Pelodiscus sinensis: one gene and its partners. The protein of the gene in region 3 purifies or fractionates together with the protein of the main gene of each other region. This does not show direct contact. Links are inferred from orthologs where the notes say so. Each region holds a gene or a part of one and is shown on either strand. Other genes may lie near its edges.

Region 1 (7,520 bases), on a different chromosome or scaffold from region 3:
TGGCCTATTGACGTCACCCAATCCCTTTTTGCCTCTCGGCTCGCCCCACAAAAACAGGCGCACCAGGTTCAACTTGGTTTTTAACCGGTTTCACTCAGCTGTACGTGCCCTGCACCTCAGACAGCACGTTCCTTGTTGGCAGCTAGGGCCTCCTTATTGCCAGGGGCCAATCTGCATTAAGACAGACACCAAAAATCCTTCTAAATACGCTCTTCGTAATCTGGAAGGGTCTGCAGGCTCTCACAGAAATCGGGGTTGCACCGCATTGCACAGCTATGGAGAATTCCTACCCCAAAAAGCTCACAGGCCGAACAGAGAAAAACAAGGGAAGGGTTATTACATGCCACCCTCTCCCATTATACAGGGGAAACTGAGGCACAGAACAACGACCAGATGTACTCAGATCACACAGGCAGTTTGTAGCAGAGCTGAAAACTCAACACAGACCCTCTTAACCCGAGTTCAGCCCCTCAGCCGCATTAAACATCCGGCAGCTATTCCTCCCCCTGCCCTCCTGGTCTCACCAGAGACCGTTTACAGCTGTACATGGGAAGGGAGCTGTCCAGCAATCAGTTTCTGCCTTAAAGCCACAAAACCATTTGAAATCCCTTTGACCCCCAAAAGAAGTTTCTCAGCTGCAAAAGGAACTAGGAAGATTTCAAAGGGCAGGACAAGAGGGTTCCTGGAAAGAGTCGGCTTGCTGGGGTTTATTGCTACGTGCATCACACCCATCCGTAAGTTCCGTACCCCCGCGAGCCCCTTCAAATCAACTCTCTGGAAAGCACAAAGCAGAGCAGGCCTGAGTGCAGGTCTCCACCCCCTGCGGAAGCCAAGGCCTGTTCTCAATCTCAGCTCAGCCTGTGACACCAGCTGTCTGTCTGGAGGGAGAAGAATCTCCCCGCCACCACCCTCTACTCCAGGAGTTTTCCAACTTTTTTTTTTCATGACCCAGTTGAAGAAATGTGTTGGTGCACCCCAACTTCACTTGACTAAAGTGTGGGTTCCGGGATGGGGTTGAGTCAAAGCTGGGGGGGAGGGAGGAGGAATTTACCTCAAGTGACTCTTGGCCAGCGGTGCAGTGGGGAAGCACTAGAGTCTCGTGGCTGCAGGGAGATCAGTGGGCAGGCTAAACCACCTCCCTGCCTCTCTTGCCACTGCAGATCATGCTGTGCCCCAGAAGCAGGTTCCTAGCCAATGGGAGTGCGGAGCTAGTGCTTGGGGCTGGAGCAGGCACAAAGCCCTGTGTGCTCCCCTCCCACCATTACCAAGGAGCCAAGCCTGCTTCGGCCGCTTCAGGGGCACAGCGCAGTCTGCAGTGCCAGGACAGGTGACAAGCTACCTTAGCCCCCCGCCCCCATGCAGCCACAAGACCCCAGTGCCTGGCATTCCGCAACCCAGTGCTGGGTCGTGACCCGGTTTGAAAACCACTGCTCTACTCACTCCATCCCACCCTGGTACTAGAGCTTGGAACAGCCGCGCAGCCCCATCCATCAGCACTTCCCAAGTCATTCAAACCGAGCGCTGCTGAGGTGCGCACAAAGCGCCCAGTCACCCCATATGCAAACACCAGCATGGGGACTTTCCATCTTCCCCACCCCGGGACCAGAAGTCTCAACAGAAAAACACAGGGATCGTCTTTCCACAGAGCCAAAGAAAAGGAGTTTGCAGCCATGCCAGACACGCTGCCCACAAGCAAAGCTCCCATGAAAGCCAAACGACATCTCCGGCACAGAGACAAGAATGTGACGCTCCTGTTACTGGTGCTACCTGGTCAGCTCTGTGTCCCCTGCCACCTTGGAGCAGGATGTGGAGCAGAGTGTGTTAATAAATCCTAGCTCTCATAAGGCTCTGGTCATCTATCGGTCTCCAAGGGCTTCACAAACGAGGTGAGTACCATTCTCCCGGGTGCTACACATGGGGAAATTAAGGCCGGGGAAGCAGAAATGACTTTGGTCAGGTCGCCCTCCCTCACAAACCAGTGGCAGAGCCAGAAACTGATCCCAGCTTTCCTGAGTGCAAGCCCAGCACTCTAGTCACTAGGCCATGTTAGCCCCAAGAGTTAGCAGCTCGGCCCCCTCGATGCACTTCAGTCATCTTGGAGGTCAGTCACGTGAATGCGGATTATGAGACTATTAAGGTCTCATCTCGAACATCCCATGGGAGTTGACGGCCCTGCAGCAGCTTCAGAGGAATCGACAGCCTGCCGCGGGTCGGGGACAGGCGAGGGGGCAGCAGCAGCCGCTGTGCTGTGCAACCCCATTGGGCGTGAGAAGCGGGAGGCCGGGGAGCCCCCCACCGGCAGGGCAGGGGACCAAAGCAAGACGGAGACTGGCTCCCCCCCACGTCCACGCGGCAGGCCCCCAGCAACGCAGCCCTGGCGCATAGGAGCGAGCAGGGGCCTGCGGGGTCCCACGTGGGCCAGAGCCCCAGGATGGGGGGGGGACCGGGGTAGCTCGGCTGCCCCCCAAGCCAGGGCCCCGCGTCACATCCCCCGGCAGGGGCCGGCCCACGAGCACGGCCCAAGGGGGGGGGGGCTGCCCCCCACAGCAGAGAGAAGCCGGGACCGTTCCACTCAGGACCGGGCGGGGCGGCCCCGGGCGGGGGGGCTGCCCTACCTGCGGGGGGGCGGGGCGGCCCCGGGCGGGGGGGCTGCCCTACCTGCGGGGGGGCGGGGCGGCCCCGGGCGGGGGGGCTGCCCTACCTGCGGGGAGGCGGGGCGGGGCGGCCCCGGGCGGGGGGGCTGCCCTACCTGCGGGGGGGCGGGGCGGGGCTGCCCCGGGCGGGGGGGCTGCCCCCCCCCCACGCGGGCCCTCACCGTCTCCTCGGGCTCCATGCGGATCTTGAAGGTTTGCTGCTGCAGCGTCTTGAGCGTGATGGTCACCGCCATGGCGCGCGCCGGGCGCTTCGTGCCAGCGGACTCGCAGCCCCGCAACATGCAACTCACGCCGCCGCCATCTTAGCGCCCCGCCGCTTCCGGCCCCGGCCGGGGCAAGCCCGCCACGTGACCGGGGCACGCGCGTGGCCTCCCTCACGTGACGGGGCGGGCGTCGCGACCACGTGACACGGTACCCGCGACGCCTCACATGACGGGGGCTCAGCCAACCGCGTGACAGCAACACGGGGCTCACGTGATAAGGGAACACAAAATGGACGCCCGAGCGGGCTAACATGGCTGAGCGGGGAGCCCCGCCCCAGCTCAAACCTGCCGCGCAGCTCCCGCCCCCGCTGGCCAGAGGCCCCTGCTAGACCGCCCCCCCCCCCGACCAATAGCAAGCTCCCACGACGGGGGGGGGGGGGGCCCTGCTGCTGCGTGAGCTACAGCCCCGCCCCCCCGGAGATTGCCGCCGCTCGGTGACTGGCTGGAGGTCCCAGCTGGAGCCCTTGGACTCGGCCTTAGCGCTGGCCCCCTCCAGCTGAGCTTGCCCCCTAGCCCCCGCCCAGCAGAGAGCCCAGGGAAACCAGGTCACAGGCCAGACACAGGATTTAATTTAATAGAAATCTTCAATCATTCATACATTCAAGTGAACATGAGAAGCCTCCCAGCCCCCACCTCGTCCCTTCATTCCCCTCCCCCACCCAATATATTTATTTCGTAGTAAGATTTGGACTCCGAACTCTACTCCCTTACCCACTGTAAGTGCCCTCCCCCCCAGCAACCTCCCTCACCCAGACAACAGTCTCCTCACTCTTACCAGTGCCATTTCCCCACCGCTGTGCCAATAGCTCTATGCAATTTCTAGGGGGATTGTGGAGGGTAGCAGGGCTGTTTGCTTCAGCATCCCAAAAGAAGGGGAGGGGAGAAATTGCTTAGAGTTACTATCACCTGCATTTGAACTGGCTTTGGCACCAGCTGTGGCTGCAAGAGAGGCCAGGACAGATGCTGCAGTTATAAAAAAAGTGCAGCAGTGAGCTAGGGGGAATGGATTGAGCCACTCACTTTGAGCAAGAGCTCTCCCCACAGCTACAGTTCCCTAGAACAGACTGCTGAAAAGAGACATAATACTGCAGTCTTGCAGACTCCCACCCCCGTGCTTGAGAACAGAGGAAAAGACAATCAACCTCCCCACCCATTCAGGGAGACTAAACTTTGAGGGACAGGGCAGGTAAGGGACTGGCGAAGGGGAAGGAGAGATACTCTGCCTCCTATATGCCCCTTTGCAGAGCACCTGAAGCCAGCCAGTAGAGAAGCTCGCCACCAGTAGAAGTATTCCATGCTGCCATTCTTGCCTGAACCAAGGGTTAAGTTTCTACTGTTAACTTTACCATACATTCATGCCCTGCAGGGCCTAGAGCTGTACTGACATGAATGGATTGTTGATGGCATTGGGGGCATGTGAAAAAAAAAAAACACAAACAGAAACACCAATAAAAAAGTTCAAGTCTCACAGAGACATTACTGTATCCCCTCCCCCCTCCTTATTTGGGTTTAACCAAGCAAGCCACACGGTCCAGGGTGAGGCTCAGCAGAGGAGTGGTGCTGTGGGAACCGCCTTCTACAGCTCATCCTTCACTGGTCCCTCCGTTTCCTCCTCTTCCTCCTTCTCAGGCTCGGGTTCGTCGTCATCATCATCATCCTCATCTTCATTATCTTCCCCTTCGGGCTCCTCGTCCCCTTCCTCCTCTTTCCGCTTCTTATCTTCCTCCTCTTGTTTCTTCCGCTGCTCTTCGTCCTGCTGCTCCTTCATTTTCTTTTCAGCATCCTGGTGAGATGGATGGCAACATAAGTTAGGCAAAAGGAAGAGGAAGCATAGGGCAAGTGGTTTAGGCACTAGTCTGGGACTCCCTGCTTTGCCAGATCCCCTGGGTAGCCTTCACCAAGTCACTTTGCCTCTGGGCCTCTGTTTCTCCCATCTGCACAAGGAGAATGGTGCTGTCCTCAGACTAGTTTGGGCCAAGTAATAAGGAGACACTGCAAGAACTCAGCGAGCTAGGAGACTGGACTCCAACCTCTCCGCAATTGCAGACCACGTTACACCTTCATGGCTTGGCTCAGACATTCACCTCACAGGTCAGGAATCCTGCTCCAGCTGTAGCCCCCCTCCTGACACCCTGTCTATTCAGAGAGGGTATGCAGCCATTACAGGATTTGTGTTTCAGGACATTTATGGAAGCTACTTGGCCTCCTCTCCCTGCCCCCCAATACCAGATTTCAGAGGTGGCTTATTACAGCTGCCCACCACCGAGTTAACACTGAAGAGTCAACAGTAAACCACTGGACTCAGCTAGTCCTGCTTAAGAGGTGCTTCACTGGGAACAGAGGACAGCCCCAGGGGGTGACTGTCACTGCACTGCCTGCCAGCCCGCCCAACTGGTGGGAGGAGGGGACCATGGGCAGGCTCTGGCTCAGAGCAGTGCTTCCCCAATGTTGGCCCAGAGGGAGGAGACAGGTGCTGGCAAGGGGAATCCCTTCTGGCAGGGAACAGAAGCGCCTTCCCCCAGGTTAGCCAGTACCTTGGTGGCCCCCCAGGTCTCATTGCCAAACTCCTCAGCGAACTTCTCGTCATCTGTGATCAGGAAGTTGTCGAAGATGGTGCCAGATTTCACCTGAAAAGCAGAGAACTAGTGACTGGCTGCTCCTGGCTGCACAGAGCCTCAGCGCAACCTCACCCAGCTTGCTCCAAGTATGGGGTGGGGAGGGTGTCATTCAGCAAGAAAGGGTGGAGTAAAAGTCCTGCCAGAAAAGAGCTTCATGCTTCTCAACCACAGTAGAGGCTGAATTCTCAAGGATTGGGCAAAGTACAAGCATGTGTTTCATAGAGCCCTGCAAATCCACCAAGTGCTGCAGGTGCGGATGCAGATACCAACTTTGTATCCGTACAGAGCTGTTTTCTGGTGAGGGAAGCATTCTGATGCAAGAAGCCAGCAGTCTGAGGGCAGGCTAAGCTGTCTGCCTGCAGCACAGCCAAGTACAAGGCCCAGGTCCCATCAGACTGGATACTCCAGTGCTTTACTGCAGCTGGTGCTCCAGGGACTCAGCCAGAAGCAGAGCCGAGTTAGGGGAATTTCCCCACAACCCCCAGTGCCAGGTGGCATCAGGCCGATGCCACTGCTAGGGCTTTCCAATTCTCACTCCGGCCAGCCCTCTGGGGAGGAGCGTACCTGCCATAGGTCCAAGCCGATGACACCAAAGTTGTCGTAGGAGTACAGGCTGGGGTCAGGGGTGTAGTCTGGATTGTCGATCTCAGGGTGCACCCATTTTCCCTTGTAATCAGGGTTGTCGATCTGGCGGGGTTTCCACTCCCCCTGGGAAGCCAAAGCATGTGAGAAATCAAGTGAGCCGGGAAAGGAATTTCACCTCATCTCCAACAAGGGAGATCTGGGGAGAGGCCAGAGACTGGGACAAGCAGCTCTGCCTGCAAGTTTTACAGCGCCAAGAGTGGGACAAGCTGTCTCCTTTATGCAATGCCCTACACTGAGGCTCACGGGCCCAGAGTTTCAGGCGAGCAGGAGCTCAAGGCCTCACTTACTGCTGGTTTCAGAGCCATCTGGACATCAACTGAGCCTGCCCCAGAGGATGCCCAGTCTAGCACCCTGGATTCTCCCCAGGCAGGGCCGGAGCCCTGAACCAAAGAGCATGGTGGATTCTCAGTCACTGGCAGGCTTTAACTCATGCCTGAAGCTCTCAGGAGCTCAGCTCTAGGAACTACTGCAGGGCAGTTCTGTAGCCTGTGTTAGGCCATCAGACTAAATGATCCAACAACCCCTCTGCCTAAATTGCCTCAAATTGTCAATCTGACCCTAAATTGCCACATGCCAAGTGAGAACCAAGGTACATTCCCAGGTTGCTCTTTGGAGCGCTTCACAGCCTCCCTTACCAGCTCTGCCAGCAGCTGGTCAGACTGGGAGAGTGTTGCTGCAATAGATGGAAGGGGCATTAAAGACTCCATCTCCTCCCCCCCTGCAGAGGGAGGAGGTGGCACCAGGAAAGGACTGCTCACTGGCACTGCACAGAGGCGTTGGGGGGGTTAGGACTGCAAGGGCAGGATGCGTTGATGAGGCTCATGTCAATCCAATGCAGTAAGGGGCGAGAGTCAGACCTCAGACCTCATCCACGGCTACATGGATGCACAGCACAGACTGCAGCAGAGCTGCACAGCCCATGGCTCCTCCACTCAGGAAGCCACAGCATTTGTGCAAGTTTACAGTGAGGGATCCCAGCCTCACCTTGTACTCTGGGTTCTGGATCACTGGAGGCTCCCACTCCCCATCCATCTCCTCATCCCAGTCCTCCGGCTTCTTGGCGTCAGGGTCGGGAATGTGCTCGGGCTTATCCCAATCCTGAGGGGGCAGAGGAAGAGATCTGCTGTCAACTCCTCCCTCTGGGGGGCACAAAGCCCTCCTCTCTCCCCTACAATCTGTCCCCACCAGCTGGCCACATGGAGCACCACAATGCCAGCCTGTGTCCAGCCCTATATCTGCAGCCCCCCAGCTCACCTCAGGCTTAGTGTCCTCAGGGTCATCTATCTTGGCCCTCTCATCCCAGTCCTCCGGCTTCTTGGCCTCAGGATCCTTGATCTTCT
Region 2 (6,847 bases), on a different chromosome or scaffold from region 3:
GCTGCTTCCCCAGTTCCTGCTCCGTGGCAGTCACACAGCCTGACCAGCCGGGCTGCATAGCAGGCCACTGCTTTGGAGGCTGGAGCTGCTCTGGGGGCAGCCAGCCCACATGGAGGAACATGACTGTTCCAGGGGCTGGAGCTGCTCCAAGGGCGGCTGGACATGGCAGAGCAGGGCTGCTAGGCCATGTGAGGGAGTGGGGCAGGCTGGAGCTGGACTGGAGTGCAACAGATGCGGTAAGGAGGGGGCTCATTCTAGGACGCAGTTTTCCTGCTTCGGTAGGGGGTGTGAGGAGCTGCCTTCCAGCCCGTCCAACACGTTCACCTGGGAGTCCCGTCCCTGCATCCTCCAGCCTGCCAGTCTCCGCCCTGTTGCACAGCCCTAGCCCTACAGCTTCAGCACTCCCTGCTCCACTTTCCTCCCTTTCTGCCTCGTGATGTCCCTGGCAGGCGGGCTAAAGACAGTGCTGAAGTCACGTCCCACCGCTAGCACCACCACCACGGGGCCCCCACTAGAGGGTGAGTGCTGCTCGGGCTGTAGCTCCGGGGCTGGGTGGCAGCGGCTCAGGGGAGAGGAAAATGCATGTGGGGGTCCTCTGACCCCAAAGCAGCATTAGCCCCAGGTGCAGGAAAAGCTGAAATACAGTCCAGGATAGGAGACCAAGCAGGGCACACGGTGGAGAGAGCCCCCCCGAGAGAGTGGCACAGCCCAGGACAGGAGGGTTAAATCTTGGTACACCACTTTGGAAAAGCTGCCGAACCCTGCTCTACATGCAACACTTATTTCTAAACAATGACTATTATAATACATTTGTCCACAAAATACAAAGCAATCACTAAATTTAAAAGGAACAACGTTGACTAGTTTAGATCCAACATTTATTTTCTAAAGAACACAGAAAAGTTTTACAATAATACAAAAATATTACTGTTTTTATTAATCATTAATAGGTGCATTAATAATGTTGCACACACATTTTAACAGATTCATTTTTATGACTGAGCCACTCTACTTGAACTTTTGTAGTACCTGACCAGAGGGAAAAGCTGCTTGGAAACAAAACTCAAACTGACCCATTTTTATTTTGCAATCTGGATGAAGTTAAAATATTAAATAGCACTAGGAGTGTATTACTATAAAGATGACTAATTATTTTTACTAATAAAGTGTTTTAATAATCTATTTTGTTATTATAAACTAAAGAAACTTACTGTTGTAAATATATAAATGTCCAATCAATAATTTTGCTTTATGTAAACAGTATTCAGTTTTATTTCTTTATGTTTACCAATGGGAAAAACAAAACGAACCAAACCAGATGTTTGTAAAAAAAAGAACCAAATTTCTGATAAGTGTGGTCTGTTTCATTTAGCTCAGCCCCTGACAAGATACTTTTGAGGACTGAATTGCTTACAGATAATGTTGTGCCTGGCTGTACGAACTTGGTATATATCGACATCTGCACGTGGAAACCCTTCAGCATCAACCAGCGGCTCGTTCATCCCGACTCCCTTTTGCTGCAGAATGGAAATACTTTCATGCGTCAAGTATTCTTGAGACAAGTTACATTTTGTTTCTCATTTTTAAAGGACAAAAATATGGCACCTGTGGTCTCAACAGCTTGTTTAGTAGGTTGAACTCATAGGTCAGAGTGGGTTAGTACAGCATATAGGTAAGAACCAGCTACCAGTACTGGCTCGTACACAACTGACATTATAGTGCTGCTGTGGCAGTGCTTTAACATCAGTGGCCCTGCTGAACCCTACACTAACAGGGCTGCCCACAGGGGAAGCAAAAGGAGCAGCTGCCCTGCTGATTTAAAAGGTCCTGGCTGTCACTACTGCAGTGGCCTCAACCTGGGAAGAGGGGAATGAAGGGGACCTTCTAATCACTTCCAGTGCTCTCAGCTGTTCCCATTGCCCTCTACATCACCACCCAAACCCTGGGGCTACTGGCTGATGTGGAAACAGAACCCACAAAGGGCTGACTGGGGGAGTCTCATCCCTCCAACCCCACCCTTCTGGGGACCCAGAGCTGCCCCCCGCCTTGCCAAGGAGGCAATTACTTTTGCACCAGAATGAACTAAATGAAGTCTGTAAGGACATTGCAGATCTGAGTTTGCACAGACCCCATCCCTGCCCTGAGGACTGCCCATCTGGATGCATTCCTTGACATTTCATCACAACATAATCTTGAACGCAACAATGATCTTTAATTCCTGGAGGCTCCACGACCATCCTGGGAGACCCCGCCATGAACTCTCCCCTCTCACTGAATGTGCACATATGCCACAGCCCAGCTTTGCACAGAGACCCCCTACAGTGAACCCTGTGCATGTGGGCTGTCAGGCTCTAACCTGAGAGACCAATACACACAAACAGGGCCGGATTAAGGCATGGGCTAGCCGGGCAGCTGCCCGGGATGCCAACCTATGTGGGGCGCCTGATGGCAGCTATAAGGGATGCGCAGCGCCCCTTATAGCTACCGTCAGGTACCGCACGCCCAGCTCCCAGCGGCCACCCTGCAGCGGTGCTGCGTTAACCCCTGCAGTGCCAAACAGCAGTGCCCTTCCCCCGTGGCCATGGGGCCTTGCACGGGCAGGCTTGGCCCGCATCAGGCAGCCTCGGGCTGCGCACCAGCAGTGATAGTCGGGCTGGGCCGGGCCAGGCATATGCATCCTGCCAGGGCCAGCTCCGCACGCCCTCCCCCACACGCTCGGCAGGGGCGGGGCCGCACAGGCACGCGCCCCAACACACTGGCACGGGGGCGCGCATCCCCCCCCCACACAGGGAGCGTCTCGGCCCCCAGCAGCGCCCCGCCCCCCGCGCACGCACCCCCTCCAGCACCGCGTAGCACGCTTTGATCTGGGCCTCGATCTCGTCCTTCCGGCGCATCAGCTCCTGCACGTCGCTCATGGTCACGGGCCCGGCCTCCTCCGCCATCGCCTCGACCCAGCCACCCCCGCCCGCGCGTCACGCGCCGCGCAGCAGGATGGGCGGGGGGGGGGGGCAGAGGAGGGGCGGAGCCATCGCCCCGCCTCCTCGCGCTGTGGGCGGGCCCGGCGCGCGTGGGCGGGGCCAGGGGGCAGCAGGGCCCGGCGCGCGTGGGCGGGGCCAGGGGGCAGCAGGGCCCGGCGCGCGTGGGCGGGGCCAGGGGGCAGCAGAGCCCGGCGCGCGTGGGCGGGGCCAGGGGGCAGCAGAGCCCGGCGCGCGTGGGCGGGGCCAGGGGGCAGCAGAGCCCGGCGCGCGTGGGCGGGGCCACGAGGCAGCAGGGCCCGGCGCGCGTGGGCGCGGCCAGGGGACAGCAGGGCCCGGCGCGCGTGGGCGGGGCCAGGGGGCAGCAGGGCCCGGCGCGCGTGGGCGGGGCCAGGGGGCAGCAGGGCCCGGAGAGCGGCTGCAATGCCAGTCAGGCGCGCACGGGTTAAAATGCACCGTGGGAGGGGGGAGGGGTCACTAACCAACCCCCCCTCCCCCCACGCCTGTACGTGGCGAGGGACACTGCGGCCTTGCAGGGGATTTGCAAGCACTTTAAGCGCGGGAGCGTCCCCCCGGTCACCGCCCCTCTCTGTATCATCCCGGCACCTGCCGCCCCGCGCCTTGGCCCCTTGGGAGCGGCTGCAGCATTTCAGCCTCTCGACCGGCGCCGCCAGACGCTGCATCCTCTTGGCCAGGGAGACTTCTAGTGGAAACGTCATTCAGGGCAGCCCGGGGGGGGGGGCTACTAGCGCTCATCGCGGGGTACAAAGTGGAGCGGCAAAGTCCTTCTCGAGCTCCCACGTGTCCGCCACGTTCCACTGAAGCCGCTTCCAGGCTGATCGTTCCGTCCCGGTTTTGTGTCCTGGGAATGGTCGCTGGCGGCTTTTGAAGAGTTCTGCAGTGCTGGCTTCCATGGACCATGTGGAGGGCTGGGACGGGGAGAGAGGGCTTATGAGTGGGTTTGTTTTTTTTAATCTTCTTCTTTGAAGTAGGAATCTACTTTGAAGTAGGAATAAGATCCTCCGGAAAAGGGCGCTTTTTTCTGGAGGATCGGGGCCAGTGTAGACGCTCTTTTCCGGCTTTTCTAAAAGCCGGAAAAAAGTGGTGGACATTTTTATTTAAATGCCGCGGGGGATATTTAAATCCCCCGTGGATTTCCCTATTACGATAGCTGAAATTAACATGCCCCTTCCGGAAAAGGGGCCAGTGTAGACGTAGCCTGGCTGTTCAGCACATCTACTTCTAGTTTTAGGCATGGTGGAAGTTCTTAGGTTATGTGTTTTTGTTTTGTCAAGGTTTTTATTTGCAAGAAATTTCATAATGAGGATGAATGGCACTTCAGATATACCCTTGTTGGGGTGAGCAGAGAATGCTTGCATTGATTTGCCTTTGAACTGGAAAGAAATGGGATTTTGCCCAATTATAATAAATACAATCAGAGAAAACAATGTTTTCTTGCTTGGCTGGACAGAAAACACTATACTAAAGAAGGATACTTAAACTCTGGCAGTCAGCTGGCTAAATCATAGTCTAACAGTGGTTTTCAGACTCTTTTTTTTCTCAAGACCCAGTTGAAGAAAGTTGTTGATGTCTGTGACCCCATATAATTTGACTGGTTTGTGGGTTCCAGGGTGGGGCTGAAGATGAGAGCTTTGAGGTGTAGGAGGGGGCTCTGGCTTGAGTGGGGGTCATTGCTAGGGCAGGAGGGGCTGACCTTGAATGGCTCTCAGAGGTGCAGCGGGAGTGCTAAGGCAGCTTCCTGCCTCCTGGCATTGCAGACTTTGCTGTATGCTCTCCCCTCCTCTCCAGGAGCTGGGCCTGTGGTGCAGTCTGCGCTGCAAGGTCAGGCAGGGAGCTAGCTGATCCCCCTGCAGCAATGAGACCCAGTGCTTGACATTCCATGGCCCAGTACTCAGTTGCAACCCATAGTTTGAAAACTAGTAGCCAAATAGGCCTCTCCTCCATCTCCCATTGGGCTGCTGGTGAGTGTGGTTTAAAGGAGAGTGGGGAATGGAAACAAAAAAAAGTTTTCTTGGGAGGGTGCCTGTTGCAGTCACCAGCTCTAGCGTGCGCTCAGAAAAAGCTGTGGAAGATCTTGGACAATCTTGGTCTTGAATTATTCCTGAGGACACAACAGTGTGTGAAAAGCTTGGACAATCTTGGTCTTGAATTATTCCTGAGGACACAACAGTGTGTGAAATGGTGGGAGGATCAGCAGACTTAACTAAACAGCACAGCAGTCAACTGGGTCTTTCCCTTACAAACAAATCAAACAAGCAGAAGTGAGAAAACAGAAAACTCCCTTGGGGTTCAGCTGAGTCCTCTGATCCCAGCCCTCTCCTTGCCAAAAGTATCTCTCCATGTCTCCCAAGCAAGCTCCACTGCTATTAACTGCCAAAGTTAACTGCCTGCAACAAATTATAACAGGCTTGTTTCTTTCCTGGCAGGGAAGAAGAAACCATACTATAACTGGATTTCCCAGATCCATGAGAGGCCTGATTTTCCTCTTAATTGCTGTCAATTAGACATAGTGGTGGAAGCCAAACAAGTACACTGCACAGCCATCAAATAATACATTTTGGTTAGTGCTTTCCTATTCTAGATTTGTAGCAGTAATCTAGATCTGAAAAGCACCCATTCCAATTGCCAATTCCCTGAGCAATGCCTAGACACCTTCAAGTAAATTTTTTGGTTTTAAATTCTCCCTGCAGCAAACATCTGTGAATGCTGGCACTGTCAGAGTTCTGCTTCAAAGATATGGGATGTGATGGTCCACAAGCTAAAATCAGTGAAATCTGGTGTTAATCCAGGCTATGTCTACATTGGCATGATCTTGCGCAACTATTTAACGCAAGACTTCTGTTAAAGTATTTGCGCAAGAGAGCGTCTACACTGGCATGTGCCTTTGCGCAAGAGATGTGCTTTTGTGCATGAGCATCCGTGCCAGTGTAGATGCTCTCTTGCGCAAGAAAGCTCCAATGGCCATTTTAGCCATCAGGCTTTCTTGTGCAAGAAATTCATGTTGCCTGTCTACACTGGCCTCTTGCGCAGGAACAGTTGCGCAAAAGGGCTTATTCCTGAGCGGGAGTGTCATAGTTCTTACGCAAGAAGCACTGACTTCACACATCAGAACGTCAGTGTTCTTGCGCAAGAACTCCCCGCCAGTGTAGACAGGCAGCATGTGTTTATGGAAAAGTGGCCACTTTGGTGAAAGATCATGCCAGTGTCGACACAGCCCAAAAGTACAGAGTTACTTTGGGTTAATACTACATTCTGATGAGAATCTGGTCTTTTTTTTAGACTTTCCTTAGATAATTTGATTCACAGATAAGCTGCAGCTAAAGTAACCTGGACCCTTGGCTCAGAATTTGTAAACAGTTTTTCTTTCTTTCAACATAAATATGAACTCCATGTTATCATTTCTGAGCCCATGGCAGAATGATTCAAACCAAGTAAATCATTTAGTTTACAAGATAGAAAGGGTGGAGTCAGGGAGGGGCTTTCTCTCTTCCCATTGCTATATTAAATACATAGAAAGACTCTGACTGTCTCTTGGGGCTACCACATTGTCAGGTTACAAAAATGGTGAGGTTGAGATTTTTTAAAATTTGCTGGCAACACATTATTGGGGGTAAATGAGCTAATCTCTCACTGTGTTTGTATAGGTTTGTCTTCAGTTATTCAGGGTACTGTTTGTGCTTTGAAAAGCTGGGCTATTTAATTTATCTGTTTAAAGCAGTTCAGAACACTTATTTTCTAAAAAGTGACCTGATGGACTAGTTTTCTGGTGATTAATGTACATTTTTTTAATTTATCTCTTTAGACAACTTACACAGACAAAGGAGAAAAGGTAAGAATACAATTGCATGGAA
Region 3 (7,631 bases):
AGAACCATGGTTCACTCTGAGTCCTGCATGCCCCTTGCAGGATGGGGGAAGGTAGTGAGATATTTTGCGTGTTCCCCGAGGCCATCACTGGCCTGGGAACAGGGGGAGTGCACAAATTCTCTGTCATCAGGGCACTGGTGCCTAGAGGAAACTGCCAGCTGTTTAAAACAGCTAGCAGTTGGGGGAGAGGAGGAAAGACTTCACGCACTCCTCCACCCCCAGGCACATCAGGGTATGTGGGCAGGGGAGTTCGGAAGTGTCCTGGCCCTGCCCTTTCCAGGGTGGCCCAGCCCCCCTTCTAAAATTATTTCCCCCTCCCCCGGGGTAGGGTGTTGCAGGATGTGGGGGATGCAGGAGTCAGGGCTGGGGTTGGAGGAATTCAGGAGTCATGGTGGAATGGCTGAGAAATGGGGGCTCAGAACAGGGCAGATGTGGGGGATGGTGCAGGAGTCAGGGCAGAGAGCTGTGGTGTGTGTAGGAGAAGGAAAGAGTGCTGTTTTGGGAGGGCAGAGGGGCTGCAGCTCTGCATACCCAGACATTGCTGCTCTTCTTTCCCTTCAGCTATCAAGGAGCAAGGGGAGAGTACACAGCTTGCATGAATTGCCCTTCCCCTAGGCAGCTGGGAAAGGAATGCATGCATGCACTTTTCCCTTGCTCCCTGATAGTCAGGGGAAGGGGAAGGGAAAGAAAAGTAGCAGAGTCCAGGGTACTTGTGTCTAAAGCTCCCAACCTTCCCTACAGGCAGGGGCAGATGACCGTTTTGCGGGGCCCCAGGCAACATAATTCCGTGGGGCCTACCCTTTGCCACGGCGCATGCGCGGGGCTTTCTGAAGCGCGGGGCCCGGGGTGGCCGCCCCGTTCGCCCTGCCCTATATCCACCCCTGCCTACAGGGCACCTTAGGGGGCGGGGCCCAGGGCTGGGACAGTCCTGGATCATTGTGTGTGTGTGTGTGTGGGGGGGGAGGAAGTCACTTCTCCAGCCAGCCCCTTTCACCTGCCTGCTGCTTATCACTGCAGTCTATAGGAAGCCCTGGAAGCCTGGCTGGGAGTGGCTGTTTTTCTTCCTGCAGATGAGTGTCCCAGCTGGCTAACTTCCTGCTGGAGCTGTGCACCCTCTTATTTTCACCTCTGCTTTCCATTAGCACCCCACTATAAAAATGGTTCCAGCACACCTGCTTAGCAGGGGGTCCAGGTGGGAAAGTGGGCCATAATAGGTTGGGGGCCTGGGTGCATTGGTTAGGATTCCGTGAGGTGGGGGTTTGAGTGGCAAGCTCAGCAGGGGTGGTTTGCATGCAGGTGTGAGACATGGCGGTGGTGGTGGAAGGCTTGCATGAAGGGGTTTCAGTGGAACAATTTTGGAACCCCTTCATGCAAGCTCCCCATGGAATTTTGAGGCTTAATGAGGTGATATGCTGGTTGGAATGCGTGGGGGTGAGCAGATGGGAGAGCAGCTCCCCATACACTGACCCCTCACCCCATGGCTGAGGAGCAATGGGGGCAGAAACCAGGGGTGTGTGTGCACACTGAGTTTCCTGGAGCAAGTGCAGGTTTCTGGGGGTAGGTCTGACCTGGCCCTAGCTACTTCTTGCAGGGCAAGAACAAGTACTGTCCTTTGCCAGCCAGGCTGGGACTAGCAGTTGAACCTGGCACATAGTACAAGCCACTGGCTATGGCATTGTCATCTCTGCTCTCCATCTCATTGTGATTTACCTCTGCTGCCTGTTTTAGGTGCCTGAAATAATGCACCCATGCTGGTGGGGAGGGATGGTCTGACTGCTCTTGCAGTTTCCCTGTGCTTCCAAGTCAGAAGTCATTTTTCTATAGAGAAGCAAAGAAATCTGTGGGAGCATGAATTCTGCATGTGCACACAGTGACATAGACTTTCCCTAGGGCTACGTCTACATTGGCATGATTTTGCGCAAATACTCTTTAACGCAAGAGTTCTTATGTTAAAATATTTCCAAGAGAGAGCATCTACACTGGCATGTGCCTTTGTGCAAGAGATGTGCTTTTGCGCTAGAGCATCTGTGCCAGTGTAGACGCTCTCTTGCGCAAGAAATTCATGTTGCCTGTCTACACTGGACTCTTGCGCAAGAACAGTTGTGCAAGAGGGCTTATTTCTGAGCGGGAACATCATAGTTCTTGCGCAAGAAACACTGATTTCACACATTAGAACATCAGTGTTCTTGCGCAAGAACTCCCCGCCAGTGTAGACAGGCAGCATGTTTTTGCGCAAAAGCGGCCGCTTTGGCACAAAATTGCGTCAATGTAGACACAGCCTAGGAGTAGTGGGGACAGAGCCAATAATGGTGCTGGGAGAACCAGGCAATGCCTTCTCATTGAGTCCAGTGGGGAAGCAGCATAGCTCATACAGAATGGCTTGGGACACAAGAAGTTGTCTTCTTTGTTTATATAGTATTGCCAACTTCAATAGGTCAAAAATCTTAAGTTGAATCACCAAAAATAATGATTGGCCCCAAAATAATGATATTTAAAATATATAATTATCTGCCCATGTTTTCTCAGAGTAGTAATAATTTTGAAAATTAACATTTGATAGAAATATTTTGTTCAATCACAGGCTGCTTTTAGAAACTGAACCAACAGAAAAATAAACCACTTGCAAATCTTAGCAAAGTGAGGAAAGTGGACTCTGGGGCGATGTCTACACTCGCGGCTTCTTGCGTCAGAAATATGCAAATGAGGCTAAGCGTGGAATATCGCCAAGCTCATGTGCATACCTAATGAACTGCCATTTTTGCAGAAGAGGCTCTTGCTCCAGAAGGAGCTGTTTACACTGCCCCTTCTTGCGCAAGAAAAACCCTCTTGTTTAATGCCGTTATTCCTGAAAATAATTGGTGTAATGGCATTGTGCAAGAGGGTTTTTCTTGTGGAAGAAGGGGCAGTGTAGACAGCTTCTTCTGGCACAAGACCCTCTTCTGCAAAAATGGCGGTTCATTAGGTATGCAAATGAGGCTCAGCGATATTCCACGCTTAGCCTCATTTGCATACTTCTGACGCAAGAAGCCGTGAGTGTAAACATAGCCTGGGTGGGGTACGGGGAGAGAAGATGGATAATGAGATGGATAAAGTGTCTGGCCTGGAACTGGGCACTGGTGTTGTGGCATGAAATAAGGGTGGTTAGAACCTACCACCCCTACAAAAACTAATCTGCTGCTGTCACAATATGAAGTTGAATAAAATTGAAGTTAACCATAATATAGCATCAGGGGAAAACTTAAACAATGAATAGTCTAGCTAGCAGCAGCTTAAAGACTAACAAAACATGTAGATAGTATCATGAGATTTGAGGCACTAGGGGTCACATGCCCCTGAATGTGGTGGGCAGAAGGGGAAAGGTGTCAGCCAGCAAAGGAACTAAATGGGGGGGGAGGGGAGATGGTGCTCATTACAAGGGTCCATTCTTTTTACATTCATTAGTAGCGGCAGAAGAAGTGGAGCAACATGGCCCCAGCTAGTTCTGTTCTCCCTCTGTGCCACTGTCGGGCATGGGCAGGATCACTCCCATATCTACTGTCACATAATTGGCCTGGTTAACATTGGTCTTACATTTGATAAGCAACTCCCTTCTTCTTCTTCTTCTTCTTCGAGAGTGTGTGTGTGTGTGTGCATGCACGCGTTCATGTGCATGCACGTGCGCTCAAATAAATCTCTAAAGGATAGTCTACACTGGCAGCTTCTTGCGCAAGAACTCTTTTGCGGAAGAGTTCTTGTGCAAAAACTCTTCCAGAAGAGAGTGTCTACAGTGGCATGTGCTTTTGCAAGAGCATCCATGCCAGTGTAGATGCTCTCTTACGCAAGAAAGCTCTGATGACCATTTTAACCACAGTGCTTTCTTGCACAAGAAATTCATGTTGCCTGTCTACACTGGCATCTTGTGCAAGAAAGTTGCACAAAAGGGCTTATTCCTGAGCGGGAGCGTCAGAGTTCTGGCGCAAGAAGCCCTGATTTCACACATTAGAACATCAGTGTTCTTGCGCAAGAACTCCCCGCCAGTGTAGACAGGCAGCATGTTTTTGTGCAAAAGCTGTTGCTTTTGCACAGTGTAGACACGGCCTTCGTATTTATGGTGCCACAGGACGACTCCTCGTTTTTACAATAGTTGGTGTTTCATAGAAAGAGCCAGCTTCGGGAGTCAATTGCCTACAGGAGAATCTCAGCTTCCACTAAAAACAAACGCTGCAGGCGAGGAAAGCAAAGCCCCTTGCACGCCTGGCTCGGAGCAGAAGGAAGAGTCCCTGTGTTCTTTTAATCCGCTCACCATGGTTGTTAAGCCAAGCGCCAGACAGGGTCCCCGAGGGGCTGCGCAGCAGGGTCCCCATGCTGGTGCCTGGCTCTCCTGCTTCCCCTGAGAGGTGCCCGGGCCAGCGTAGCAGGCAGAGTGGGCGGGGGCAGACAGCTGAGAGACCCGGGAGGGGGAAGAAAGCCCCGGGGCACCGCCCCGCCCTACCAGAAGCGATGCCGGGGAAACAAGACCCACTTGCGTCTTCCGCTTGGCTGCGTCGAACGCTACCCACTCCCCTCCCCCTCCCCCTTTCGCGGGGTTGCTTCCGGTACGAGGCGGAAGGGCCCCATGCTGCGGCTCAGGAGTCCCTTCAGGCGCTGCGCGCGGCGGCCTCGCCGGAGCGGAAGCTGGCTGAGGCGCTGTGTAATGCATCCGGAGGCGGGGCGGCGCCTGCGCAGTGCCTCGGGAGCGGGAGGAGACGCTCGCAGGGAGCCGTGCGGCCGCCGGGATGCCGGACTATCTAGGCGCCGATCAGCGCAAAACCAAGGAGGAGGAGAAGGAGGACAAACCCATCCGCGGTGAGGGGTCGGGGCCCTGTATCCAGCGACCTCGGCCTGCCCTGCGGGTCCTTCCCCTCGGGCTCCGCTGCGCTGGCGACGCCCGCAGTCGTTCCCGGGCTGGTCTCTGGCCCCACCGAGCGCCGGGCCCGGCGAGCTGGGCGGAGCGTCTCCGCCGTCGGGGAGGCAGCCGAGCCGCAGAGCGAGTCCGTCACTTAGTGAGGCGCCCAGGACTCGGGGTCTCACCTCAGTTCTGCTGGGTCAGGAGCTGCCCGGCCTCCCCGACGCTCCTGTGCGGGTTCCCGAGGCTTGTCAGCCGCCCTGGCCAGTAGGGGTGTTAGCGAGTATTGACTGGAGTATTGACTACTCGCTCCCATCCCCCGCCTTTTGCCTCTGAGAGGCGGGGGGTACAGGCAGGGATGTAAGCGACTAGTTGCCCCTCCCCCGTGCTGCCTCTGTCGGAGAGAGCCAGCAAAGGGGAGGGAGCAGAAGCCGGTGCTGGGGGAGCTGGCTGGTTCCTCCCCAGCACCGTCTCCACAGAGAGCAGAGGAGGCAGAGGCACAGTAGGAAACAGTAAGCAGGGACTGAAGCAATCTCCACTTGCGCCACTGTGGTGATTCTGCTTTTGAAATGTACAAGAGCCATAGCTGAGTTCTTGTATATTTCAAAAGCAGAAACCCCATAGAGGCAGAGGCCAATGGGGGATTCCTCTGCTAGCTCCATGCTCCCTGAAGAGCTTCCTTTTGAAATATACAAGAGCCCCACTGGGTCTCTTGTACATCTCAAAGTCTCAGATGCCACAGGGAATGCAGAGCGGGTCTCCCACTGGCCTTGTGCTCCCTGGCAGGGCTTTTGCTACAGTTCAAAGGTGAAGGCACCCTTATAGACTCATTGAATAGTCAATGGAAATCCCATTGACTATACAGTTAGTTAATTAATCTCAATTTAACATACATGGAAACAGGAGCCTGTGCTGGGGGGATCCAGCTTAATAGCTGCTTTCCCCCAGCACCCGCTCCATGTGCTGCCTCCCCCTCTAAACTCTGCTGCCTTTATCTGCCTTCGGCAGGCCAAGGCTTGCCATGGGCAGATGCTGCTTCAGCAGCAGCCCCTGCCCATGGGGGTCCCAGTGGGGCACTGCCTCCTCTTCTCCCCCTCGGACAGAGGCTGCTCTAGCAGCAGCCCCTATGCTGAAGCAGCTTCTGTTCACAGCAGCCTGGGATGGCTGCCGCAAACAGGGACTGTTGGACTCAGCACGTGCTGGGACCGCTCGCTGTTTTGGGATGCTGCACCTCTGCATTTTAAATGTAGTAAGAGTCTGATGGTTCAGTCCTGATTTGAGCTGACTGCTGGAGCAAGCCCCGTGGCTCTGCAGAGTGCTCCTTATCAACTAACTGTGTAGTCAATGCAATTGTATCGACTACACGATTAGTCAGATAACTGCAATTTAACATTGCTAGTACACAGTGGCTGGCCCAGGTTAGCGGCCTTGCATTCACTAGGCTTGGGCTGAAAATTGGCTATGTAGACATGAGAAGGTAGGGTCTCACGTAGGGATGCAAACGAGTAGTCAACTAGTCCAGGCTTATCAGTTAATCTTCTTGACTTTTTGCATTTCTCCCCCTGCCTCAGAAGCAGCAAGAGGGGGAAGCAGGAAGGCTGCGCAAGTCTAGATGCGGATCTGTCAAAAATAAACCCTTTTTCGACAGATCCTGTAAATCTCATTTTTTGAGGAATATAGGATCTGTCAAAAAAGGTTTTATTTTTGACAGATCTGCATCTAAACTGCCATTTTTTTGAAAAAGCTCTGTTTTGAAAAAAAGCGGTGGCCATATTTATGCGGGATATTTAAATCCCTGCTTCATTAACAATTTTGACATGCTTGATTTGCACCCCTCTGTCGACAGAGGGGGATGCAGTCTAGACATAGCCTTAATGTTTCTGGGCCTCCATTCCTTTCCTTAAAACAGAGGTAATAACATTTCCCTACCTTCCAGAAGTGTTGGGAGGATAAAAGTTGTGAAGCACTTGGAGATCTACTGATGGAAACAGCACTATCTGAGTAAACATCAGCCAGTCTTGCAATGCGATTGCTCAGAAATGTGAGCATCATCTAGCTAACATGTCTGTGGCTGCACTCATGCAGCATGCACTTTGCCATCAAGCACTGAATAAATTGAGGGATTCTCACTTTTGGGAGACTCCTGTATCTTATCTGCAAAACCTTTGTGTCATGTTCTGCTCTCTAACAATCAAATTATTAGATTCATGTAATGACTCTTACTCTTTGTTGATAACTTCAGTACAGGAGCATCTTGATTTTGAAATAGGGTCTTGTTCTTTCCGTCACTGAAATATAACATTATCCTGTTAATTAATTGCTTGGTGTGCAAGTATGTATTGAGTTATATACAGTCTAAGTACCTATGAGTGGTTAGCGTTAGAACAAATGACCTCTGGATTTTGGACAATTGTTGGGATAATCAAGAAGCAGAACTTGATCCATTTGTTTATTATACTCCCTTTTCTCCAGGCCCTTGTTAAGCTTGTTAAGCCCTTGGGTAAACTGCTTTCATGTTGGATATGTTGGTGCACAATAGATAACAATGCAGTACTTCTACTCAAGTCTTACTTGCTGGGATCAAGCTGGAGAACTTGTCTAACTCCTCCTTGTTCTTGAGTACTGTGCAATAAAACCAGATATTCTAGTTTAGTGTTTAAAAATAAAATAACACCAGCTCTCCCTCTCAGTATCAAAGGGGTCCTGTGGATGTGTGCATTTGCATCTTTTAGAAGCAAAATGAGATGCATTTAATTTGTTCTTGCAA

What was found. Proteins that work in one complex are often made in the same cells at the same time.
Region 1: the proteins of PSMC2 (region 3) and RAD23A purify together in Homo sapiens (affinity purification with western blotting; 4 studies listed by BioGRID and IntAct, with this or other methods). This does not show direct contact. The link is inferred for Pelodiscus sinensis from reciprocal best matches to the Homo sapiens genes PSMC2 and RAD23A.
Region 2: the proteins of PSMC2 (region 3) and PSMD9 fractionate together in Homo sapiens (co-fractionation; 4 studies listed by BioGRID and IntAct, with this or other methods). This does not show direct contact. The link is inferred for Pelodiscus sinensis from reciprocal best matches to the Homo sapiens genes PSMC2 and PSMD9.

Annotation. Positions count from the first base shown.
Region 1 is NC_134729.1:13,037,675-13,045,194, forward strand, and holds the start of RAD23A (UV excision repair protein RAD23 homolog A), read right to left. Parts: upstream 3,004-7,520; 5' UTR 2,936-3,003; coding exon 2,816-2,935; intron 1-2,815. Other genes in the region: CALR (calreticulin), read right to left, coding at 4,494-4,700, 5,452-5,544, 6,100-6,243, 7,165-7,278, 7,435-7,520. UniProt on the Homo sapiens protein: Multiubiquitin chain receptor involved in modulation of proteasomal degradation. Binds to 'Lys-48'-linked polyubiquitin chains in a length-dependent manner and with a lower affinity to 'Lys-63'-linked polyubiquitin chains.
Region 2 is NC_134725.1:33,301,572-33,308,418, reverse strand, and holds the start of PSMD9 (26S proteasome non-ATPase regulatory subunit 9), read right to left. Parts: upstream 3,004-6,847; 5' UTR 2,943-3,003; coding exon 2,835-2,942; intron 1,518-2,834; coding exon 1,415-1,517; intron 1-1,414. Other genes in the region: HPD (4-hydroxyphenylpyruvate dioxygenase), read left to right, coding at 6,558-6,560, 6,799-6,825. UniProt on the Homo sapiens protein: Acts as a chaperone during the assembly of the 26S proteasome, specifically of the base subcomplex of the PA700/19S regulatory complex (RC).
Region 3 is NC_134711.1:23,572,218-23,579,848, forward strand, and holds the start of PSMC2 (26S proteasome regulatory subunit 7), read left to right. Parts: upstream 1-4,618; 5' UTR 4,619-4,754; coding exon 4,755-4,824; intron 4,825-7,631.